Arabidopsis thaliana: one gene and its partner. The protein of the gene in region 1 purifies or fractionates together with the protein of each later gene. This does not show direct contact. Each region holds a gene or a part of one and is shown on either strand. Other genes may lie near its edges. The genes, in order: AT5G25475 and STRS2.

What was found.
Region 2: the proteins of AT5G25475 (region 1) and STRS2 fractionate together in Arabidopsis thaliana (co-fractionation; one large-scale study listed by BioGRID). This does not show direct contact.

What each region holds. Positions count from the first base shown.
Region 1 is NC_003076.8:8,866,099-8,873,277, reverse strand, and holds AT5G25475 (AP2/B3-like transcriptional factor family protein), read left to right. Parts: upstream 1-3,456; 5' UTR 3,457-3,567; exon of another isoform or gene 3,568-3,760; 5' UTR 3,761-3,785; coding exon 3,786-3,887; intron 3,888-4,197; coding exon 4,198-4,248; intron 4,249-4,347; coding exon 4,348-4,789; intron 4,790-4,886; coding exon 4,887-5,011; intron 5,012-5,103; coding exon 5,104-5,358; 3' UTR 5,359-5,481; downstream 5,482-7,179. Other genes in the region: DNMT2 (DNA methyltransferase-2), read left to right, coding at 1,079-1,159, 1,243-1,353, 1,477-1,570, 1,647-1,765, 1,866-1,988, 2,196-2,615, 2,705-2,770, 2,865-2,929 and 1 more; AT5G25470 (AP2/B3-like transcriptional factor family protein), read left to right, coding at 6,044-6,145, 6,466-6,826, 6,939-7,060, 7,167-7,179.
Region 2 is NC_003076.8:2,790,866-2,799,614, reverse strand, and holds STRS2 (DEA(D/H)-box RNA helicase family protein), read right to left. Parts: upstream 5,228-8,749; 5' UTR 5,076-5,227; coding exon 4,834-5,075; intron 4,740-4,833; coding exon 4,633-4,739; intron 4,510-4,632; coding exon 4,454-4,509; intron 4,357-4,453; coding exon 4,132-4,356; intron 3,736-4,131; coding exon 3,529-3,735; intron 3,455-3,528; coding exon 3,368-3,454; intron 3,279-3,367; coding exon 3,183-3,278; intron 3,109-3,182; coding exon 2,893-3,108; intron 2,791-2,892; coding exon 2,608-2,790; intron 2,340-2,607; coding exon 2,067-2,339; 3' UTR 1,855-2,066; downstream 1-1,854. Other genes in the region: AT5G08630 (DDT domain-containing protein), read left to right, coding at 82-277, 378-539, 629-717, 890-1,040; PDE340 (P-loop containing nucleoside triphosphate hydrolases superfamily protein), read right to left, coding at 5,556-5,783, 6,002-6,184, 6,269-6,484, 6,564-6,659, 6,748-6,834, 6,909-7,115, 7,273-7,497, 7,610-7,665 and 2 more.

The DNA of each region.
Region 1 (7,179 bases):
CACGTTTATAGAAGGGAGCGGTAAATCAAGAGGGGTGTGCTTGTTTTACGCGTTTGCGAATTCATTGTAATTTGCTTTCTTGTTCTAGTGAAATCGAAATCTGGACGTGGTCCCGGGGAGTAGGAAAAACCGAACCTCGTTAACAAATTTCTTATCTCTTTACTTTCTGCACTTTATTATTACCTCATCCGCACTTACATAAGTAGTAATCAAAAATCTCAACTAATACGATGGCGACCGAAATGTTTTTAGAAAGTTAATTTATCTACTTACATATGATCAATAATGCAAGAGTAATTAATTCCTCGCATATGAATGGAGATCAAATAGATAGTGTTTGTAGGTTCCGTGTTCGCGTATCGAAATAAAAAAATCAATTCCTAAATTTCTAGATTGTAGTTTGGGTCTTTCTCAATTTTATTGTAAATCAACTTTGTACCTCACTCTAACTATGAATTACTTATAAAATATTTCTATCAATCCTTTTCAATCTCACTAAAACCATCCAAACAAACCTACGTGGAATCAAAGTTCATATAGTATGAACATGAAGAACACTAGAAGGTCCAAAGATTCAGCCTAGATCAATGTTAGCTAGAGTCTTTTTTGTTTGTTTGTTAATTTGTTGATTGTTAGCTAATTTTATATCCCCATGAAATGAAAGATTAGACATAAAAAACCCACAACATACTTTCACACATACTAAAAAGCAAAGTGTTTGATATGCCATGTAATTCCCCAAAATAACATATCCTTAACCTTAATATATAAAACAGTGGTAACTAAAATTGGTTAACGAAAAAAAAAACAAAAATTGGTTAAGGATTGTTTTTTATTTTTTGTAAGTTGAGGGTTATTTTGAAACATATTGGCTAGTTTGAGGGTTTTCTTGCTAATTAATAAAGAAAAACGACAAAAAACAAAAAACATGGTTCTAACAATAAACCGAACAAGCGTGGTATGGTTCTATTACTAAACAGAACAATATAAAAAAACGGTTTAATTTACCCAAACGAATAAGAACAATAACCAAAAACTCCCAAATTAATTTTGCTTAAGCAGCAGCAGAAGAAGAAGCATGGCGGAACAAGAATTACAGAGAATCAATGAGAAGAAGCCATGGCAAGTTCTCGAGTTCTACAGTGGAATCGGTGGAATGGTAACAGTCTCCTTCACCTCCAATTCTATGTTTTTAGTGAAGTCTACTCTGTCTCATAAACCCTAATTCCTTTTTGCTCTTAGAGATACTCTTTAATGGCGTCAGGCATCGTCTCAGAAGTAGTAGAAGCTTTTGAGATCAATGATTCTGCTAATGATGTTTATCAACATAATTTCAAACATCGTCCCTATCAGGTTGCTTAATGCTTATATATGATATAATCAATAGAAGCATTGTTACATTTGCAAATCATAGATGATGCTAGTTCTGTGACTTAGTCCATGATTAGTTCTTATTGTTTTGGTTGTTTTTCATAGGGGAATATTCAGAGTCTCACTGCTGCTGATTTAGATAAGTATAATGCAGATGCTTGGCTTCTTTCTCCTCCTTGTCAACCTTATACTAGACAAGGTGATTCATTTCACTGTTGTTTTCTTTACTATCAACATGACTTGCTTTTGGATACTAACAGTTTTTTTTTGGTTAGGCCTTCAGAAACACTCTGGTGATGCTCGGGCTTTTTCGTTTCTCAGGATTCTTGAGCTTATACCGCATACAACAAAGCCTCCACAAATGTTATTTGTAGAGAATGTTGTTGGATTTGAGGTATAGTGTTTGCTTATGCTTCCCAGCTAGAGTACTTGTTCTCGATCATCTTCTTTGAAGTCGTGACATTTTTGCTTATTGGTGGTGTTTGTTGGTGCAGACTTCGGATACACATATGGAAATGATTGGTACATTAACAAAATTAGATTATGTCACACAAGAGTTTATATTGAGTCCGCTGCAGTTTGGTGTGCCGTATTCAAGACCACGTTATTTCTGCCTGGTACTTTCTCTTTACCTTATGATTGCGTAGTGCATATCTGTGTACCTAAAACTGTTAATTTTAGTAGTCTGAGAATGTATAAGTATATGCTGATTATGAAACTTTCTCATGTAGTGTGCACTTTCTCATGTATATGCGTTAATCTTTTTGTTTTAGTTAAAACGTCACTAACTTTGAAATCATTTGATTTACCTGGTGTCTTTGTAGGCCAAAAGAAAACCTCTGCCATTTAAGTCCCAACACAGTAATAACAAACTACTCTGGTCTCCAGACCCGTTATATGGGCGTGATGATCAGGTTGAGTTTGGAAAATGTCAAGCAGAAGAAGGATTGGATAAATTACTTGAGTTTTGCAAACCAGTAGAGAAGTTTCTCGAGTTAGCTGCACATGTTGATGGCGAGCCAAGTAGTGTTGATGACTCTGAAAATGGGTCCAAAGATTGTTGTGGACAAGAAGGCGATTCTGTCCCAGACTCTGTACATCAGTATCTAGTACCAGTTAGTTTGATAGAGAGATGGGGAAACGCAATGGACATTGTTTACCCTGATTCAAAGAGATGTTGTTGTTTCACAAAGAGTTATTATCGATACGTGAAGGGCACAGGTTCCCTATTGGCAACTGTCCAGGTACGTTCTTCCATGGAGTATACAATATTACTTTCCTCTGTATTTGCAAAGTGAAAAGAAATGCTTATCGTGAATCTGTGATCACGCAGCCAAAAATCAAGGGTAAGGAATCTTGTTTGAAGGAGCAACGGCTTAGATACTTCACCCCTAGAGAGGTTAAGCACTGTCCTTTACTTTTACTACTAATGCCTCACTGAAAAAGTCAGCTTTATTTCATTGAAAGATGATGTTCGGTTTCTATTTGTTTAGGTAGCTAACTTTCACTCATTCCCTGAAGATTTTGAGTTCCCCAAGCACATAAGCCTTCGACAAAGGTACGCTGTTCATACCGTCAACACCATCTAAGCCAGAAAAAGCTACTGTCTATATAGATTATGTGCATCCAAGTATAACAGAGGCACCGTTTTGATTCGAATATAGAATTTAACCCATAATACCCTTATTTCTCCCGTACTTCCTGTTTGAAATGTGGAAATAGTTGAACACAAGAACATGAATCTCATGAACTCCTCTTTGTGCAGATACGCAATGCTTGGAAACAGTTTAAGTGTAGCAGTGGTGGCTCCTCTGCTTCGGTATCTATTCGATTCTTGACTACACAATTTGATGCACTAAGTGACGCGACCAATTACCGGAATCAGTTATTCTCCTGAACAAGCTTCTACTACTTTTTTGTTTACTGATAAAGTTCAAACTGATGAACTTACGTTTTGTTATCGATCCTTAACTTTATGGGCCAGTATTTTAAATGGGCCTTATTCGGCCCGTTAATCATAATTTCTTACCCAAATTTCCGTAAAAAGTGACCATAATATTGGCATGAGACATGAGTCTTTTGACTGTCTCTCTCTCTCTCTCAGTCACTTTAAATTATTTGAGCAGCCGCAGCGAGAGGAAGTTTTCTTCAACTGCGACGGAGCGTGAAGTTCACGCTCCGGCGGTACTACCTAAGGTTTGTCGTTAGGGACGTTACTTTTACGTTATTACTTGCTTCTTCGCCACTTTTCTTCATTTTTTCCGACCAGAGATATTTTGTTCCTCCTTGTACGTACAAAGTGTTTGTTCTTTTTTTACTTTTCCAATTTTTTGGCTCTAATTTTATGAACAAATGCAAGTAGGTCATCATACAAACCCTAATTTTGCAGAACTGATCCAGCTTTGAAAAGAAAAATGTTGCCTAAGAATGCTATTGAGAAGATCCAAGCAAATGTGAGCAAGCCTTGCTTCTGGAAGTCTCTCTCTCCAGGACAAACTTGGAAATCTAAATCCATGGTAACTTCAATTATGACTCACTCCTCCTTTGATATTTACTCACTGTTCTTAGACTCTTTCTATTGAATTTGCTTTGTTACAAGTTTATAGCTTTGGATGTTGTTGCTAGAACAGTAAGATGTGATAATCCTTTCATGTTTAGTTTAGCCCTTTTATAGACAAGTTATTACAGAACTACCCGTTTGTTGTTGTTTGAAAAAGTTCAGATCTTTTCTTCTTTTAAGAAACTTTGGAGACATTCTAATGGCACAATGCCTCCTCTGCTTCTTGCTGCTTGGTCTTCATTTTGTTACTTATTGACCTGTTTTAGCTACCGTTATGGGTACTTTTACGTCGCAGGTTTCGTTTGCCCTTAGCTCATGTTTATGCTAGTGTTGGTTCTAGTCCTTTTCTCTGCATTTCTTGACCTACAATCCAATCTTTTAAGCTCGTGTTTTTGCTGCTTGTGTTTTTTCTGTAGAAAGTTATAACTTTTAGTCTCATGTTTCCTCTTTTGAATGTAAGTATTGTTTTGTTGATTTCTGGGTTTATTAAGAGGATAATTCCGGAAGACTTTGTGAGAAGAACGCGTGGTGCTTTTGAGCACAGAGTGGTGTTTAGTGTTCGTTGGGAAAACTCCTGGCAACTCTGGCTGGAGCGAGAGAAGAACGAGCTGTTTATGATAGAAGAAGATTGGAATGAGTTTGTAGACGACAATCATTTAGGTCCAAATGATAATCTGTTCATCAAACACGATGAGACGATGAATCTTGAAGTGCAAATCTTTAAGAATAATGGGGTTGAGATCATTGATGTACCTCTTGGAGTTGAACCCGAAACTGAACCATTTCATCCTACGCCCAAGAAACCTCACAAGGAGACAACCCCTGCCTCTTCCTTTGCCTCTGGCTCTGGCTGCTCTGGTAAGGCTATTCAGATCGATAGAATCATCAAACTCCAAACTATCATTTGTTCTCTATGCCAATGTTTGATTGGATTCTGTTTTGGTGGAATTCTCAGCAAATGGAGGGACAAATGGCCGAGGAAAACAACGTTCTAGTGATGTCAAAAACCCTGAGCGATACCTCTTGAATCCTGAAAACCCTTACTTTGTGCAAGCGGTGACAAAAAGGAACGACGTTCTGGTAATAATACAAGTGTTTACATTGTCAGCTTTTTATTCCATTTGTGGCCTAGAAAGCTAAAGCTTGTCTTTGTTTCCTGCTGTATGTGCAAGTATGTGAGCCGACCGGTGGTTCAGAGCTATCGCTTGAAGTTTGGTCCCGTTAAGTCCACCATTACCTATCTTCTTCCCGGGGAGAAAAAAGAGGAAGGCGAGAATAGAATCTATAACGGGAAACCTTGTTTCAGTGGCTGGTCGGTTCTATGTCGGAGGCACAATCTGAATATCGGAGACTCCGTGGTTTGTGAACTTGAACGCTCCGGTGGTGTGGTTACCGCTGTAAGAGTGCATTTCGTCAAGAAAGACTAGACCAATCCTCTCTAGTAACAACAATATGTTATTTACAACTTTCTGTAACAATGCTAAATGTGTCAATTATGTGTTAGTTTAACAAACTTGTCAATTCACTTGCAATCGAATCGATTCTAGAGTATGATGGGCCAGTTTCTAATATGGGCCATATCCGGCCCAATAATATTGTTTGACCATTTTATTATTTCCATACACAGTACACATTTGACACTTGTCACAGTGCTGTTGACTGTTGAGTCTCCTCTCTTTCTGAAAGCAGAGAGATTCGATTTGGAGAACAAGGGCTGAGAAGAGCAGACACAGCAGCGAGAGGAAGCTTCTTCGACTGCGACGGTGCGTGAATTTCATGCTCCGGCGACGTTACTTTTGACGCAATTACTTGCCTTTTACGCATTTACTTTGTTCTGACTTCTGACCTAAGTTTTTTTCCCCTTTGACCGTACAAATTTTGCTTCTTTCTTCGTTTTTCTCTGTGTCTCTCATTAGTCACCATTTTCGTGTTCTCTGCTTTGTAACACTTTCGGGTTTAGCTACTGAAAGTAAGAAAAGCGAGATAACGCATTAAAGGTTTAATTTTTATCCAGTTTTACTGTTTCACTGATTTCATTACATGCAAGTCATCTTCGTCTTTGTTTATGAACCCTAATTTTGCCGAATCCATCCAGCTTTTGAAGAGAACAAGATGTTGCCTAGGAATGCTACTGATAAGATACAAGGAAATGTGAGCAAGCCTTGCTTTTGGAAGTCTCTGTCTCCAGGACAAAACTGGAAATCTAAATCCATGGTAAAACAAAATTAGTCTCTCTTCTTTTCTAATCTTTCGAAAATGTAGCTCCTTTGATTTTGTACTCACTGTTATTTCCATTGAACTTCTTTGTTTGCTCTAAAGATCTATTGTTCGTTTGTTGTTCTTGTTCGAAAAAGCTTTTGATCTTTCAAGAAACATTTGAGGAGATTTTAATGGCACAATGATTCCTGCTTCTTGTTCTGCTTGACAAGCTCGTGTTCTGCTGATTGTATTTTAGCTTTTAGTCTCATGTTTCCTTCTTCTAATGTCAGTATCGTTTGTTGTTGTCAACTGTTATGATTTCTGTCTTTATGAAGAGGAGTTTTCCGGAAGAGTTTGTGAAAAGCACGCCCGGGGCTTTTGAGCACAGAGTTGTGTTCAGTGTTCGTTGGGGCAATTCTTGGCAACTCTGGCTGGAGCGAGAAGAAAAAGATCTGTTTATGATAGAAGAAGATTGGGATGAGTTTGTGGATGACAACCATTTAGGCCCAAATGATAACGTGTTCTTCAGACACGATGACAAGATGTTTCTTGAAGTGCAAATCTTTAAGAATGATGGGAACGAGATCATCGATGCACCTCCTGAAGTTGAACCTGAAACTGAACCATTTCATCCTACTACACCAAAAAATTCTCACAAGGAGACAACCACTGCCTCTGCCTCTGCTTCTGCTTCTGGTATGGCTATATTCAGAATGAAAGAATCGTTTTGATGCTCTTCATACTCAATACTACTCTTTTCTTTTCTCTCAATGCCAAAGTTTGCTTCTTTTTGTTTCTGTTTTGGCAGAATTTTCAGACAATTGGCGAGAGACACATGGTTGTGCTGATATCAAAAACCCTGAGCTGTACCTTCTAAACCCCAAAAACCCTTACTTTGTGAAAACGCTGACAAAAGGGAATGACGTTTTGGTAATAAGAGCAGTGTTTTCATCAGTTTTGATTCTAGTTTACGTTTGTTGCCTCTAAATCTAAGACTTATCTTTCTCTCTATTTCTCATGTACAATGTGCAACTAGTATGTGCCCAAAA
Region 2 (8,749 bases), 6.1 Mb from region 1:
GCTTATCCTATTTACACATAAGCAGAACATTTTGTTTTTGGATGACTTGGTGGGAGCTCATTGTTCTTATGGTTGTGATAGGCTTATAGGGAATGTCTATCTGAGAAAGCACAAAAGGCAGATGACGGATACAAAAATCGAACCAAAAGAGGAGGAGGAGGATGAGAAAGCAGAGGAGGACGAAGAGGAGAAAGGATTTTCAGTGAAGAAGCAGGAGGTAAAATCTGCAAGCGAAGATGAGAAAGGAACTTTTGAAAGGAGGGGGCCCGAACAGAGGGTAAAGTCCGTCCCCTCATAGTTATATTTGGTTGTTTGCATATATTCCCCGTGTGTGCTTTTTTTACCCATCAAGTCTGAAATTTTTTGTATACATGCAGAGGCAATATTATGAGCGGGAGATGGAGAAAATAGTCATACGTACAAACCCCTTGGGTAAAGATCGGGACTACAACAGGTACTGGTGGTTCCGAAGCAATGGGAGAATATTTGTTGAGAATTCTGATTCCGAAGAATGGGGCTATTATACCGCCAAGGAAGAGGTATCATCAATCCACGTGGTTCATTTCTTTGTTTGATAAATGGATTGTATAGTTCTTGTTCCGATTTGTGTATGTTACTTGAGATCCAGCTGGATGCATTGATGGGGTCACTAAACCGTAAAGGAGAGAGGGAACTGTCATTATATACACAACTAGAGATATTCTATGACAGAATATGGTCAGTTTATAGCTTCCCATTTCTATTTTGCATAATCTGCAGTATTTATTATTCTGGTAACTTGTTCTACCCTCACTTTAATGCACATGTAGAAGAGTAACACCACATTTATCGAAGTCCCCTTGTTTATGTGTAATGGCTTTAAAACCTGGCGATGACTTGTGATTTGCAGCTCTACACTACAAAAGAGGACGAAGGACATTGCTCACAACATAGAAATGGAAGAAGCAGTGGTTAGGAGATCTACCCGTGTAAGAGCTCCACTACATGAAAATCCAGCTAGTGCCTTCTTGAGATATGTTAACAAGTGGAAAGAGGACTAAACGTAGCAGAATTCAATTCTGTATAGGAAAAGCTTGTAGTTGCAGTTGCAGCCATAGCCAAAACTTACCATTTTCAGCTTGTCTTCTCTGTTTTTTCTTTGGCTCCTTTAGGGTTTAGTAGAGCTTTTTACAAGTTACAACAAAAAGGCATTAGTCTTATGGTATGGTGAAGGCAACGCTTGAGTAGAAAGATGGTGTTGGGTTTTGTTTTGTTTTTCTGTTACCATTCATCATCACCTTCTTTTCAGTACTCTATGATACCGAGGTACCATTTATTTTTTATTTTTTCCGGGGAAATTAGAAGTTTTATTACTATTCCTAAAATGTTTCATTGCAGATTTGCATCTATGTCTGATTTTGGTTGGTGGCTATATTTCTAAGCTTTGTTACAGAAGACTTAGATTAATTAGGCTAAAACCTTTTGACTTATTTTTGTTTTCAGTGCGGTTTGATAAATTTGATGGCATGTCATCTTTGTTTTAGCTCCAAAATAAACATTTAGGACCATCGTTGTACCCTTGTTTTTTGTTTTAAAAAAATCAAAACATGAATTTGGTAGTTCGACATTTGAATCTATACAGTATACAACTACTCGGAGAAGAAAGTCAGTTCTCATTTTCAAATCCAGGTAATTACACCCACACCTGTGGGCTGTAAGACAGAATTTACAATGTTGAACAGCCTAGCTATGATTCAGAAGCAAACCAAGGACTACAAGTCAGGTTTAGTTTTCAGCCAAAAAGCCAATCGGAACTCTTTCTTTTTGGGTAACAAATTCGGTTCGGTAAGATGAACCGATTAGATAATTTTTTGGAAGAGATGAACCGATCAGTTAACCAAAGAAATTTCTATTTTTTCTGAATTTTTTATTTTCGGATTTTTGGGCTCCGAAACAAACCGGATCTTGACAAATTAGTAAATTACCAAATGAAATTCTTAAGAAGGTAACTTTTACCAAAATGCCAAACTTCAAAAAAGCAATAAAGTTCAACACAAACAATACCATTAGGCAAAGAAAGAGAAAATCTAGCGGGAACGATAATTTCTCTTTGCAGGTTTCTTGTCAAAACCTGGAGCGACTCTAATACCAGGAACGTTTTTGAGACCCATCTTGCCAAGAATATTTACAGGGATAGCCGGAGGGATGCTAAGTCCCATACTGCGGCTAAACTCATTAGCTAACTCCACCAGTCTGGTCGTGTCTCTAGCAATCTTCTTCTGCGATTTGTAGTAACCCAACCATGCCTGATATGCCGCCTCCTTGTTCGTCATTTCCACTTGGATAAGCCCTTTCTGCACCTGATTTTAACATGTTTTCAACACCCATCAATGCTCACTCGAGTTACATACTCTTAAGAAAAATTTGGCTTCTAACGTAAAAGAGGTTAGTTTCGTGAGATGTGAAAATCTTATTCCTTTGCATACATATTCCAATACAGTTTATATAACATTCTGGTTGTTCTGGTTTGCTACTTGCTAGCGAATAGAATTTACGAAAGGCTTGCTAAGTTCAATAGAGTCACAAATTCAGGCTAAGTTTACAGTAGTAGTATTTGAAAAATCTTACCTTTTTCACAGCCTCATGGTCTATTGGCGGTAAAGAAGACTTTGTGATGGGCAAGTCCTTAACAGAAGATAGAAAGTACTCTTCCCACGGTGCCAACAATAGTACACCTTCTCCTTCCTTACCTTTCCGCCCAGTTCTGCCAAGTCTATGTATATATTGTTCCCTGTCTGATGGCAATCCCATCTGCAAAAGCAACATACACACAACAACAACTTCGGTAAAAAAAAACAATCAACTTTGTAGATACTGTTCAATTCCATGATTGAAAACTACTACATGATTTACCTGTACGACTAAGGACACATCAGGGTAATCAACACCACGAGCAGATACATCAGATGTCACAAGGATAATACTCTTGGACTTGCGGAACTCATCAGAAACTCTGGTTCTGTAACTCTGCGGTTTTCTAGAATGGATCTCTCTGACGTTAAGGCTTAGCTTACCAAGCAGATCAGCCACCAATCTTGTAACCATAGCAGTTGTACAGAAAATAATAACCTGCAACAGCAAGGAGATCATGTTAATCCAGAATTACAGTGGTGATTAACAAAGGCATTGGAGGAACAATATACCTTATAGCCCACATTATCTGTGATGTGTTTTTTCAGAAGACCATATAGAAGCGAGAAATGTCTATCTAATGATGCAATCATGTACATTTGTGAAACCTGGGAGATAAAACAGACATGAGAAACCATTAGCATCCAATCATATGGCAGGCCATTGGTTCAAATGAACTTAAAAAGCAATCTTTTACCTTTTGATGCGTCTCCCCAGCACCCTCTTGAACACAGTTGACGAATTCATGATCCCGTTTCAGAGCAACATGGCATATTTGGCGGACCTTGATAGCAAAAAAACACAGTTCAAGATTCCAACCCAAAAGTGAAAGCCTTTGTGCAAGAAACTGACACTTACCTCATCAGATACTGTGGCGGAAAATAAAAATGTTTGTCTCTGCTTAGGAACAGCAGCAATTATCCTCTCAATTTCCCTTCGGAAACCCATGTCCAAGAGATGATCAGCTTCATCAAGCACAAGGACTTTCACACCCATCAACCTTGTTGCAAATCCAGAAGTGTTGTCGATATGGTCTTTGAGCCTTCCGGGTGTAGCCACGAGAATCTGAGAGTGTGAAAATATGTTATTATTCAAAAATATACAGAGACAAAGATCACCATCTCTGCAGCCACTTTGACTGCAGGGAAGACAAATAATGCAAAAAAATCTAAATGCATAATGAGGCTTAGATCAAAGAACATATCCTGTGACTGAAAAACAATCCTAACTTGGACAGGGAAATCCATTTCTTTTTAAAAAACAATCTATCTTAATTCATATTCTTAGAAATTCAAATCATGAGTCCATATTGTTCTAGCGAAGGATAACCAACTCAGTTTGAAAAGAAATATATGCAACTCTATTGGTCAGATAACAAGTTTCATCTGAGAAGTCCAGCTCAATGGAAATGCATGATTTGCTCAGAAATAAGTTTACATATTAATACAAATGAAAATTTACCTGGCAAGGACTCTTTTGCAAGCGCCTTTGCTCCGTAGGAAGCTTAGTGCCTCCAATCACAACTTGAACACCAATAGATGGGTGATACTTGAGCAAGATGTTTGCTTCTGCAGCAGCTTGACAAGCAAGTTCCCGAGTAGGACATACCACAAGCACAATAATTGGGGGATGCCTATTATCACGGCTTGCAGGAGGAGCTTTGATAACAGCTTCAATTGATGGAAGCTTGGAAAAAGAAACATCAACATTAATAACAAACCCCAATTAATCAAACTGATTGTAATCCTAAATGACCAACATGAACCCAAAAAGGGTATCTCACCAAAAATGCAACTGTTTTCCCAGTGCCTGTTTTGGCCTTCGCAAGGATATCTTTACCTGGAAAACCAAGGAAGAATAATTAATAGAGGAATAGTCAAGCTTCAAAATGTTTAAGTCATGACAAAACATAAGGAATCATGAAGAAAGATGCAAAAGTTTCTGCCTTTTAGGCAAGTTCACCTTGGAGAATGAGAGGAAGAGTAGCCTCCTGAACAACAGTCATTGTCTTAAATCCAGCATCCTCAATTCCTTTTAACGTTAAGGGAGACAGTGGGAACTGATCAAATCTGTAAGAACCATTTTACCATAAAGAGAAATCTGAATCAAACACCACTAAGAATAGCTCTGAAGCTATCTCCGAAAGAAACGCAAAAAATGTACCTTGTCTTTGACAAATAAGAATCTGAAGTTTTAGCAATTTGAGTCACTAGAGGCGTAGTAGAAGCTGGTTTCTTAATAAGAGGCTCATCAACATCAGATTTGCCTTCTCTTCCCCTCTTTAGACTCTTATTGTTGTCCTTGACTAGCTTTCCCGAGCCATCTTCGTCACTCGTCAACTTCTTCACAAGTTTAGCACGAATCTCTCGTCTCTTCTTACCGGATTTGGGTCCATCGGAATTCATGCCAACGAGTGGAGAAAAGACGGAAGAGAACGGTGAAGCGTATGCCTTTAACTGTAAGGCTCTGCAACTACCAAATTCCCGCCGTCGGTTATTTTAGGGTTTAAAAGGTTTTGTAGGAAACACAATTTAGGGCTTAAGGGTACAGATGCGAGTGGCCCAAAATGTCAACAAATATACAAAACGGCATGTAGTTGCTCCCTTTGCTTTGAAACGTGTTGTTTTATATCAGAAAAAAGTTTTGTTAAATCTTCAAACACGTATAATCCAACTTAATACTTTTTTTGTTTTTTTAGTGAAAATCGAAATACTCATGTTAACAAGCCATTACAAACAAAAGACCTTTATAAGAAGGCAACTTTTATAGGATTTTTTAGTTAGGAAGTCTTAAGAGTGTAGCAAGAATGACAAGAGACTACACGTCTACACTTACAAAACATTAAAGTTTTAAAACCAAAGCAGATCACTAGGAAAAAAGAAAATCTACTTGGTTCTAAGACCAGGAACGTTTTTGAGACCCATCTTGCCAAGAACATTTTTGGGGATAGCTGGTGGGCTGTCAAGTCCCATGCTGCGGCTAAACTCATTGGCCAGCTCCACCAGTCTGGTCGTGTCTCTTGCAATCATCTTCTGAGATTTGTAGTAACCCAACCACGCCTGATACGCCGCCTCCTTGTTCTTCATTTCCACTTGGCTCAGCCCTTTCTGCACCTGAATTCAACAAGTTTATTATACCCAGCAATACTCACTCATACTCACACCCTTCAAAAATCATAGCTTTTAACTTCAAAGAGTTGTGTTATGAGATTCAGGTTCAGTTTCAAGTTCCCTACTCATTCTGGATTGCCAGCAAATATGAGTTAAGAAAGGCTTGCCAAGTTCAGTAGAATCACAAATTCATGTGAGTGCGCTTATATGAAAATGCTTACCCTTTTCACAGCCTCTGGGTCTATTGGCGGTAGTGGAGACTTGGTGATGGGCAAGTCTTTAACAGATGACATAAAGTACTCTTCCCATGGTGCCAACAATAAGACTCCTTCCCCTTCCTTCCCTTTCCGCCCGGTTCTGCCAAGTCTATGTATATACTGCTCCCTGTCTGATGGCAATCCCATCTGCAAAAGCAAACAACTTCAGTTAAACAAAAGAGATAAAATTTGTAGTCGCAGAACAATTCCATGTCAGAAAACTATGGTTACCTGTACGACCAATGACACATCAGGGTAATCCACACCACGAGCAGATACATCAGATGTGACTAGGATAATAGCCTTGGACTTGCGGAACTCATCAGAAACTCTGGTTCTGTAACTCTGCGGTTTTCTAGAATGGATCTCTCTGACGTTCAGGCTTAGCTGACTAAGCAGATCAGCCACCAATCTTGTCACCATAGCAGTTGTACAGAAAATGATAACCTACAACAGCAACGAAATCGGGATAGTTCAGAAATACAGACATTGGTTATTCATAATGGCACTAGAGAGATAATGTTACCTTATAGTCCACATTATCTGCGATGTGTTCTTTAAGAAGCACATGTAGAAGCGAAAAATGTCTATCCAGTGATGCAATCATGTACATTTGTGTGACCTGGAGATAAAACAAACATAAGAAACTGATAACATCCAATCATATGGCAGGCCATTCACTCAAATTAAGCTAAAGAGAAATCTTTTACCTTTTGATGTGTCTCCCCAGAGCCCTCTTGGACACAATTGATGAACTCATGATCCCGTTTCAGAGCAACATGGCATATTTGGCGGACCTTGACACCAAAAAACACAGTTCAAGATTCCAACCCAAAAAATGAGAGCCTTTGTACTAGAAAGTGACAGTAACCTCTTCAGGTACGGTGGCAGAAAATAAAAATGTTTGTCTCTGCTTAGGAACAGCGGCAATTATCCTCTCAATGTCCCTTCGGAAACCCATGTCCAAGAGATGATCAGCTTCGTCAAGCACAAGGACTTTCACACCCATCAATCTTGTTGCGAATCCAGAAGTGTTTTCAATATGGTCTTTGAGCCTTCCAGGTGTAGCCACAAGGATCTGAGAGTGTTCAAATATGTGATTATTCAACAATATATAGATATAGGTCACGGTATCTGCAGCCATCTTAGAAGCGCAGTTTAAGGGAAGTGCAAGATTTGCTCATAATTAACTTCAAATTAAAACACCTGTAGAGACGGAAGAAATTTCTTATTACCTGGCAAGGATTCGTTTGCATACGCCTTTGCTCTGTAGGAAGCTTTGTGCCTCCAATCACAACTTGAACACCAATAGAGGGGTGATACTTCAGTAAGGTATTTGCCTCTGCCGCAGCTTGACTGGCAAGTTCCCGAGTAGGACATACCACAAGCACAATAATTGGGGGTTGCCTACTATCCCGGCTTGCAGGAGGAGATTTGATAACAGCTTCAATTGCTGGAAGCTTGAAAAATAAACATCAACGATAAGAAGTAAGAACATATCCCAATCAAAGGCCCAATCAATTCCTATCCAACCAACATATATCCATGAACCCAGAGAGTACAATGTCTCACCAAAAATGCAACGGTTTTACCAGTGCCTGTTTTGGCCTTGGCTAGGACATCTTTACCTGGAAAAACAGAGCATGGAAGAAACCAAGGAGTTAAGAGGAATTTAAACAATCAATCAAGCTACAAAATGGCAGTCATGGCAAATTTGAGGGGATCCGGAAGAGAAATACTCAAGATTCTTAAGTTGTCTTTGAAATACCTATTGGCTATTGCCAACGTGATTTGTAAAAGCTTGTGAGATGTCGTCAATTAGAAATTGTCACTACATTTCTAAATCATGGCATTTTTTCTTTTTGCATCGTAAACAAGGCTCATGAAGAAAAGTTCACCTTGGAGAATGATAGGAAGAGTAGCCTCCTGCACAACAGTCATTGTCTCAAATCCCGCATCCTTGATGGCTTTTAGCGATAAGGGAGAGAGTGGGAATTGATCAAATCTGTAAACCATGTACCATAAAGAATATTATCAATCAAACAGAACTAAATGGTCAAAGTAAGTCACATAGTGAAAAATAATGTACCTTGTCTTAGACAAGTAAGAATCTGAAGTTTTGACATGTTCACCAGTTGGCTTATCAGTCTGAACAGCCTTAGCAGAAGCCGCTTTCTTAATAAGAGGCTCATCATTTTCATCATCCTCATCACTACTATCTTCACTAGGCAAATCATCGATGTTTCCCAATCCAACCCTGTTCTCGTCATCGTCACTACTATCTTCCTCTTCCAGGCTTAAGCCTCTTGTCTGTTTCCCCAAGCCCCTGTTGTTTTCGGAACCTGGCTCTCTCCTAAACCCTGATTCTACATTTCTATCATTCCTACCACGAAAAGACGACCCTGAGTCTACATTTCTATCATTCCTACCACGAAAAGACGACCCTGAGTCTACATTTCTATCACTCCTTCCACGAAAAGACGACCCTGAGTCTACATTTCTATCACTCCTTCCACGAAAAGACGACCCTGAATCTACATTTCTATCATTCCTACCACGAAAAGACGACCCTGAGTCAACATTTTTGTCACTCCTTCCACGAAAAGACGACCCTGAATCTACATTTCTATCACTCCTTCCACGAAAAGACGACTCACTACTCTTTCCTTGAACACGACCGTTCCTTGAACCTTCTCGATCACCTAACCGCTT